Linked DNA regions of Tribolium castaneum. The protein of the gene in region 1 purifies or fractionates together with the protein of each later gene. This does not show direct contact. Links are inferred from orthologs where the notes say so. Each region holds a gene or a part of one and is shown on either strand. Other genes may lie near its edges. The genes, in order: ebo and zinc finger matrin-type protein 2.

Region 1 (4,568 bases):
GTACTTCTCTGAGCTTGTATCCGGATTCCATCAGACACTGGGATATTATTATTTTTACGACTCCTAGCTGCAATTAAAAATTACTCTTTCATCACGAACTAACGCAGATTGAATCGGCAAAAATGCAATTTTCGACGCAAATTCCGCTTTATTTATACATGATTTTTCCGATATAGCTGAGTATTGTCGAATAGTCGCCAAACAATTGGATTTTAATTTTGAAAAAGCGGCGTGACTGAAATTGTGTGCGCTTAATTAAGAAACGTTGATTCGCGCTTGATCGTGAATAAATAAAATTTAATGCAGAAATAGTCAATCATTTTCTTCCTTTCCCAACTAAACCGACTGGAGGCTCGAACAGAGGGATCACTCACGGTTTAATTGCACATCACAAAGTCAAGTCGGAAGCTTTGGCTTTGAGAGCAATTTGTGTTTTACACGACAACTGCGGTTTTTGAAGCATTTGCCTCGGAATTCGGACTGATTATTTTTTACAAAAATATTTCTCTGTTTACTTTAAACCGTACCGGACTGCATAAGTTTGCAAACTCGGAAGTAATCATTCAAAGGTGAATTCTCTTGTTCTAATAAAAAACCAAGAGACCAACCTCACATAAACATAAAAAACGAACAAATGTTTCTTCCCTAGTAGACGCATTAGGTTTAGGTAAGAAAGGAACATAAATCTCCTACCGCTGTCCCGAAATGTTTATGTTTAGTGTTTTAGTCACAATGTTTATTAACCAACTTTTTTATTGTAATTATTGAGATCATTACGGTAACAATAAATACTTCTCCAAATTTAGTTTGTACGTCTTCCTCAGAGCACATAGCTAAGTTAAATTACTGAAACCTCATGCAATTCAATTCAATTCAAAAGTTTGATTAATTCAGCCAATGCAACACTAAATAACCGGCAACCTGGATTTTGAATTTAGTTACTTAACGAGCTGAGTTAAGAGCTTGATTGATATGTTTAGAGGTGTTTTTTTATTTTGTGATGAATGAACCGAAATGAAATTAGGTTTAATTTGTATGTAACAAAAGAATTGTTACATTGCGTAAAAATTGACCCGTTTCTGGCCATACAACAGCATATGACCCTATCTAACAAACGTCATGTGATAAAGCCCAAACAATTTGTCACCCTTATCAAAGGTGTCACAAAACAAAAAGCGAAAGGGTGTTTTTGTTGGAATAAAATAATGTTGCAACCACCACACAGGGCTGCATAATATAAGTGGAATGAACGAATTCCGACTCAAGTGAAAATTGTCAATCAATTTATATTATTTATACTTGTTCATGTTTCATGTTCTATGATGCAGGATTTATCATCATTATTTGATGATTATGCCAAGCTCATATTAGTAAATTACTACTACTAAATAACAGATACAAGCCTGGTTGCACCTAATACAATTTGAAAATACCAACGCTAATAGAAACTAATAATGGCAGTGGCAATCAATATTTATTTATGTGCTATAATGTGAAAAATATCTGTTTATTTCAAACTATGCGCCGTAAAGGTGCCAACATCGCCCACGTGAAGTAACTGCCGACGTCAGAAACGTCAAAATGTTGATAATTTCGTAAAGTTAAATAACGTTATTTACTAATAATTAACATCGTTGCATCAATGTCATGCATTTGTTGATATAGCAGACATAAAAAATGGTTAGTATGTGGAAGATTGCGGCGGTTTTGAAGCGACTTGTCCAAGTTAGACTTACATAACCTCACTTGGGGAAAAACGATTTTTTTGAATAATTTCCTTATAAAATAACGTTTTTGCCTGTTTTTGAAGGAACGTAACGAGAATGAATCCTTGGTTGCGTTGGAGTACCTACTGGATGAATTTTTTAACCCGGTCACAAGCAATTCACGAAAACATGAAATTGAACAGCAGCTCAGTTCATTTAAATACCTACCCCAATCACGGAAACTGTGTTTGTACTTTCTTACAAATACCTCTAGTCAATATGTGACTATGTTTGCCTTATCGACATTAGAGGTATGTCTTTTTTGTACAAATTGTGGTTTTACATAAGTTGGTATTTTAGTCTGTGATTAATCAACAGTGGGCAAATACTGATTGGCCTTTTCGAGAAGAGTTAAAAAACACACTGTACAATTATTTAATAGAGAAAGGAAACAGCGCACCCCATTTTATAAGGAGCAAATATGCCAAATTGCTCGTAATTATAGCAAAACAAGACTGGCCATCGCAGTACCCGAATTTTTTTATTAACATTATTGAGGTAAAAAACCCAGTTTAAGACACCCAACTGATACAAATTTTCAGTTGTTGAAATCCGAACCAAATCAACTGATTGGTTTAATTTTACTGAAAACGACAAGCGAGGAGTTGATGGGGCTCCAAGCCTCGTTTGAGAATGGTAGAAAAGACGAAATTACAAGACTGCTTCATCAGTACATTCCTGTGGTTTTCGATTCACTAAACACGATTCTCGAAAATTTAGGTACGTGTCCTCGAACCGAAAATTAAGTTGGCAGCATTTCAGTCGCCCACTTTGACCAAATTTTTTTTTAATTACGTAGGCACTAAACCTAGACACACCGCTACAGCGACCCCGCCCCCGTCCCCAACCCACCCCACGTCCGCTCCCAGCCTCCCCCAGCAACTGGCCACTGCGACCTTCAAGCCCGACAGCAAAGCCCTGAATAAGGAAGCCCTGGAGACAGTGCAACACCTCTTTACTTGGGTGCAAATCAACCAAATTCCCCCGTCGATCATTAAAGCCATTTTTCACTTCACCAACATATCCAGCTATGCTCAAGTGAGTATAAAAACGCGATACGGATCAACTGGTTTTTATTTGTTTTGATTGAGTCGTTCCGGGTTTACTAAAACAAGCTCGAAAGATTCAAACGTTTGGAACCTCCGTATGTCCGCGTCATTTCGGACTCGGGTCGAGGGCAGTTTGCGAATTTTTTCCACGTAGTTTGTGGACGGAATGTGAAATTCGTAACAACAAAATTTGAGAAAATCATCATAGGTTGATATTTGGTCGGATGAAACTTCGACTTCGATGAAGTCTTTGTCAGGGAGGTCGGCAACTCGTAATTTGAAAATGTGGTATCCTAAAAAATACTTTGCTTAATTGTTTTATTAAAATAAATGTTAGTAAATAAGTCAGTCAACAAAAAATTATCACCTCTACCTGGCGGGGGTTGATATCTGTCGTTACCTTGATCCATCTTTCAATTTTTTTCCGCAGAAACACAGAAAATTACAATTTGTCAGGCTGTAAGAAAATGGTCGGGAACCGATAACTTTATCGCTTGTTTTTGTTCAAACAAAGATATATCTTCTAAATACGTTGTTAAATATTTTCTTTTGAAAATTAATCGAAATAATAATGTTGGAAAAATTTGTTCGTTAATCGACTCGTCCGAAATAAGATTGAGATATCGTTTTGTATAAAAAAACAATAACTAATTTTGTTTTTTTTACCTAATTTTTATTTTATATGGGAGGGATTCTGAGAGAATTCAAATTTTTTTTCTTACCATTTTATACTTTCTTGTTCAAAAAAAAGGTCAAAAATTTCAAAGGCGTTTGTTACTGTTGGTCTTCTTTCTTTTTTTCCTAGTATATGTATTTATTTTCATTATAAGGTAAGTAAATAAGTAGAAAAAAATAATTAATACACAAACACAGTAGAAAAAAACAAAGCTTTTAACACTGATTTCTGTGTGATTTCTATGTTACTAAAATTATTTAAATGTTTATTAATTAAAATTTATTTTTTGTTTAAAGTCTTCACATTTCAGTATGAATTTGGTATGGTAATGAATTTTTTTTAATAAGGTAGGTACTTAAAAAAGTCTTTAAATAAGGAGATTAAACTGATGAAGTGATGAGTTTCAAATTTGTTTTTCCATTTATAACCATTACATAAAGGTTTAACTACTGGGAAAGGTTAAATGAATGAAGACAATACAGTAGTTGACATAAGTAGATCATCTACATTGTGACAAAAATAAAAAAAATAGTTAAAATACATTCGAAAGCTTAAAAAACAGCTTTGGGAACGTAATATATACAACATTTTTACTGCAAATTAATTATTAATACTCATTCTAACGTTTAGAAATTTTGACATTAAAGAGCGTAAAACGCAATCATTTTTACATTACAGTACGCAAAGTAATGCAGTGAAAAAAAACGAATGCTTTGTGCACTAAGATTAGTGAGTAAACACATGTTTTTTTGGTCAATTATAGATAGATATATAATACTAGTGCGAAAACACAAGCTTAAAGTTCGAGGGTTGTTGTACGAGCGTATGCGAGTTACATATCTAGACACCCGAGAATTTTAAGCGTTTTCGTATGAGTGTTGTTAAATTTTTTTTACTGGAACATTTAAAACACGATACTATGGGAAACGTGTTTTAAAATAGTATTTATAATTATATATTAATATATTATAGAATTATATATTATAGAATTATATATTAAAAAGAAGGCTTAAAATATTATTAACAAAAAATGTTTTTAAAGAAAAATAAAGTAACCAAAAATAAAGTTTTTTATTC
Region 2 (3,133 bases), on another chromosome or scaffold:
ACGGACAAATAAATTATTAACTATTGCGCGCTACTGATGCTGACGTTGAGTACATAAAATATGTGACCGCAAATATGCGACATCACTTTTGCCCTACCTTTTATTTCGTTTAACTGAATAATGTAAGGTTTACTTAACTTTTGAAATTTTGAAAAATTATTTCGAACAAAATTTTTTTTTTAAATCGTTACATTTTTAAAGTAGTTAATGATGTACTAATTAGTATTTTTTGTAAGGTACATAGTTTACGCACAAAACGCTTGATTTAATACTTTTGCTCAACGCTGCATGTAATATTGTATCAAATAGATTTTGATTACAATCTTTATAGTTTCGCCATAATCGGCTTTTTAAAATTGATATTTTTTTTAATATCACCTTAATCACTAAATATCACCTTGTTCCACTAAAATTTTTTGCAACTTTGCATTTTGCATAAATTGCAAATTTTAAAGTTAATGTCTTCCACCAATCTTTGCATTTGTTTTGGCATATTTTTGTAAAAAGAAGTATTTTTGCTAAGTATATTTTTTGCTAAGTGTGCAAAATACTGTTGTTGGTGGAACATAAAGGTGTTCGGGAACGTGCAAGCGCAAAGTGTAAAAGTCGTTTGTGGAATAGAGCCCACATCAGAATTTTCTGATAATGTAATAATAATAATATTACTCAAAAGTTGGCAACAATCGTATAATTCTATGTTAGCAGTTACGGTTTTAAATATTGAAAGAATTTTATCATATAATAGAAAATACACCTTGAACTTTATTTTAAAAAATTGGTTTATAATGTTTCACAGCAATTAATACTTGACCACATTCAAAATATCAAATGGTAGCGTAATTAATTGTCTAGACTAAGAGCGCCGGTTTACAAAACATTTTAATTGCAATTAAATTTTAATCGCGGTTAACTCGACATTTGTCAATGTATTTAATGCTACTTAATTTGAATTAGTTTAATTTTGAATTAAATTCAATTTGATTTTTTGTAATTTAAATTAATTTAATTTATTTGTACTCGACTAGAATATTAATTTTTGCTTCGACCATAAAACTTGGAACACTCTGTATAATTAGTTGCGTAGGCTGCCATTTGAATATTGTGTTGCCTACCCAAAATAATAATTTGTTAAAAATTTAAATTTTTTGAGTTATCCACTTTTTCTTTGGTATTTATAACTTATAACTAACTCATAACGTAGTGGTAGTTTGAACAGCCACAGACTGAAAAATTGCAAACGAAAGATTCTGTGAATTAGATTTTAAAAATTAATAAAAAAATTGAAATAAATAACTAATTGTCTTGATTACGGGATTTTTTTGATCTTTTCCCATCTTAAATTTTTAAACAGGTAACCCAGCTAACTTCGTTAGATGTAATAGCAGAGTCGAATAACCAAAAAATTAAAAAATCTATTAAGTATTCTATGAGTTTAATGAATTCAATTGTAATAATCTAATGATATATATAAACATCCTGAATGGCGCAAATTCGCAATTTATTAGAAAATGAACCTTTATTCTTATGAAGTTAGCAACATAACCTAACCTTGAAAATTTGACAGCTGTCAATGTGTACTGCAGTTTGTCAACACTGTTATTGTACTTGAGTTTTTATTAATTGATTGTGATCCTGCTAAAGAAAAATCATCAGAAATGACTATGCGACCAGACGACCACCGCCGAAAATGGGACAGGGACGAATACGAGAGGTTAGCCGAGGAGCGCAAGAGGGAAGAAATCGAGCGCCTCGAAGAAGAAACCAAGAAAAAGAAAGGCCCCCCGGTGAAACGTGAAATGCTAAAAACCCGAGAGTATAAAGTAGACCTGGATTCAAAGCTTGGCAAAAGCATTGTAATAAACAAAAACACACCAACATCACAATCGGGGGGCTACTACTGCAACGTCTGCGACTGTGTTGTTAAAGATTCAATCAACTTTTTGGATCACATCAATGGCAAAAAGCATCAACGAAACTTGGGAATGTCGATGCGGATCGAACGCAGCAGTCTGGACGCAGTTAAACGAAGGTTTGACCAAAACAAGCGGAAAATGGAGGAGAAGAAAAAAGATTACGATATGGCAGCTCGCATGCAGGAAATTGCCGAAGAAGAGGAAAAGCTACGCGAATACAGGAGGGAGAAAAGGAAAGAGAAGCGAAAAGCTGAGGAAATGTTGGAAGAAACATCTGAACAAGCAAGTGAGCTTGCTAGCATTATGGGATTTGCAGGTTTTGGATCGTCTAAAAAAAAGTAGCAAAATGTCTTTCAATACCTTTATTACAATAATTTAGATTTGTTGAAGTTTAAATAAAAATCAATATTATGCTAACTAGTAAGTGAAGTACAGTTGGAAGAATCATTGTGTCAGCCTGTAAAAAATAATTGTAAATGAAATAAATGTGAAGGAACAAGTTGCCTTATTTTCTTTTTTCATATATTCCTCAGGCATTGGGTCCTTGACTTTGGGCGTCTCCTTCACATTGTCACAGCTTATTGTGAGAATACTGTCAATTATCGACTGTAGAAGTTCTTTAGTTGTTGCTGCAGCGCTGTTTCCACACACTTTCGCAGTTTTGATGTAATAACAGTCAGCTATGTCTTTGTAAGCCCTGAAAACAATTAAATATTTGATCAAAGAAGCCCATGATGTTAAATAAGTTTCGTAACACTCAAAGGTAACATGTAAGTACTATTAAATTCAAATGTTAATTATATTTTATTAAGTTGCCGTTGCACCAAACTTGATTGCATATTTTCAACTTTTTAGCTCCAAAACTTGTTGAAGGCTTGAAAAAAGTAAAAACAATATTTTTGGCTAATTTGGCGATTTTTTCAAAGTTCGTAACGAACTTTTCGATGTAATCGCGTTAAAACGCAGTGGCGTGTGGTGTGAAAATATCTTTATTTTTTGTAAAAATGAATTTTACTAAATTCCATATCGACCACTTACAAATAAACCAATGAAATGTCTTTGACTTGACGTCATGCTTTCATGTATGTCGTATCAGAAATGTTTTTCCCCGGATTGTTAAAAGAGTTTTTTGCTGGTTTAGTGCCAGAACAACAGAAATTGGAGTTTTATCGAAAGTGAATGTTCAGAAATGCTAGATAAGGTTCTTTTGAAAACTATAA

The links.
Region 2: the proteins of ebo (region 1) and zinc finger matrin-type protein 2 purify together in Homo sapiens (co-immunoprecipitation; 3 studies listed by BioGRID and IntAct, with this or other methods). This does not show direct contact. The link is inferred for Tribolium castaneum from reciprocal best matches to the Homo sapiens genes XPO6 and ZMAT2.

Annotation. Positions count from the first base shown.
Region 1 is NC_087399.1:5,109,355-5,113,922, reverse strand, and holds the start of ebo (exportin-6), read left to right. Parts: upstream 1-1,540; 5' UTR 1,541-1,677; coding exon 1,678-1,680; intron 1,681-1,810; coding exon 1,811-2,017; intron 2,018-2,066; coding exon 2,067-2,264; intron 2,265-2,308; coding exon 2,309-2,486; intron 2,487-2,565; coding exon 2,566-2,804; intron 2,805-4,568. UniProt on the Homo sapiens protein: Mediates the nuclear export of actin and profilin-actin complexes in somatic cells.
Region 2 is NC_087395.1:20,716,826-20,719,958, forward strand, and holds zinc finger matrin-type protein 2, read left to right. Parts: upstream 1-1,538; 5' UTR 1,539-1,655; coding exon 1,656-2,255; 3' UTR 2,256-2,304; coding exon of another isoform or gene 2,305-2,370; 3' UTR 2,371-2,412; downstream 2,413-3,133. Other genes in the region: uncharacterized protein LOC656218, read right to left, coding at 2,305-2,370, 2,418-2,610. UniProt on the Homo sapiens protein: Involved in pre-mRNA splicing as a component of the spliceosome.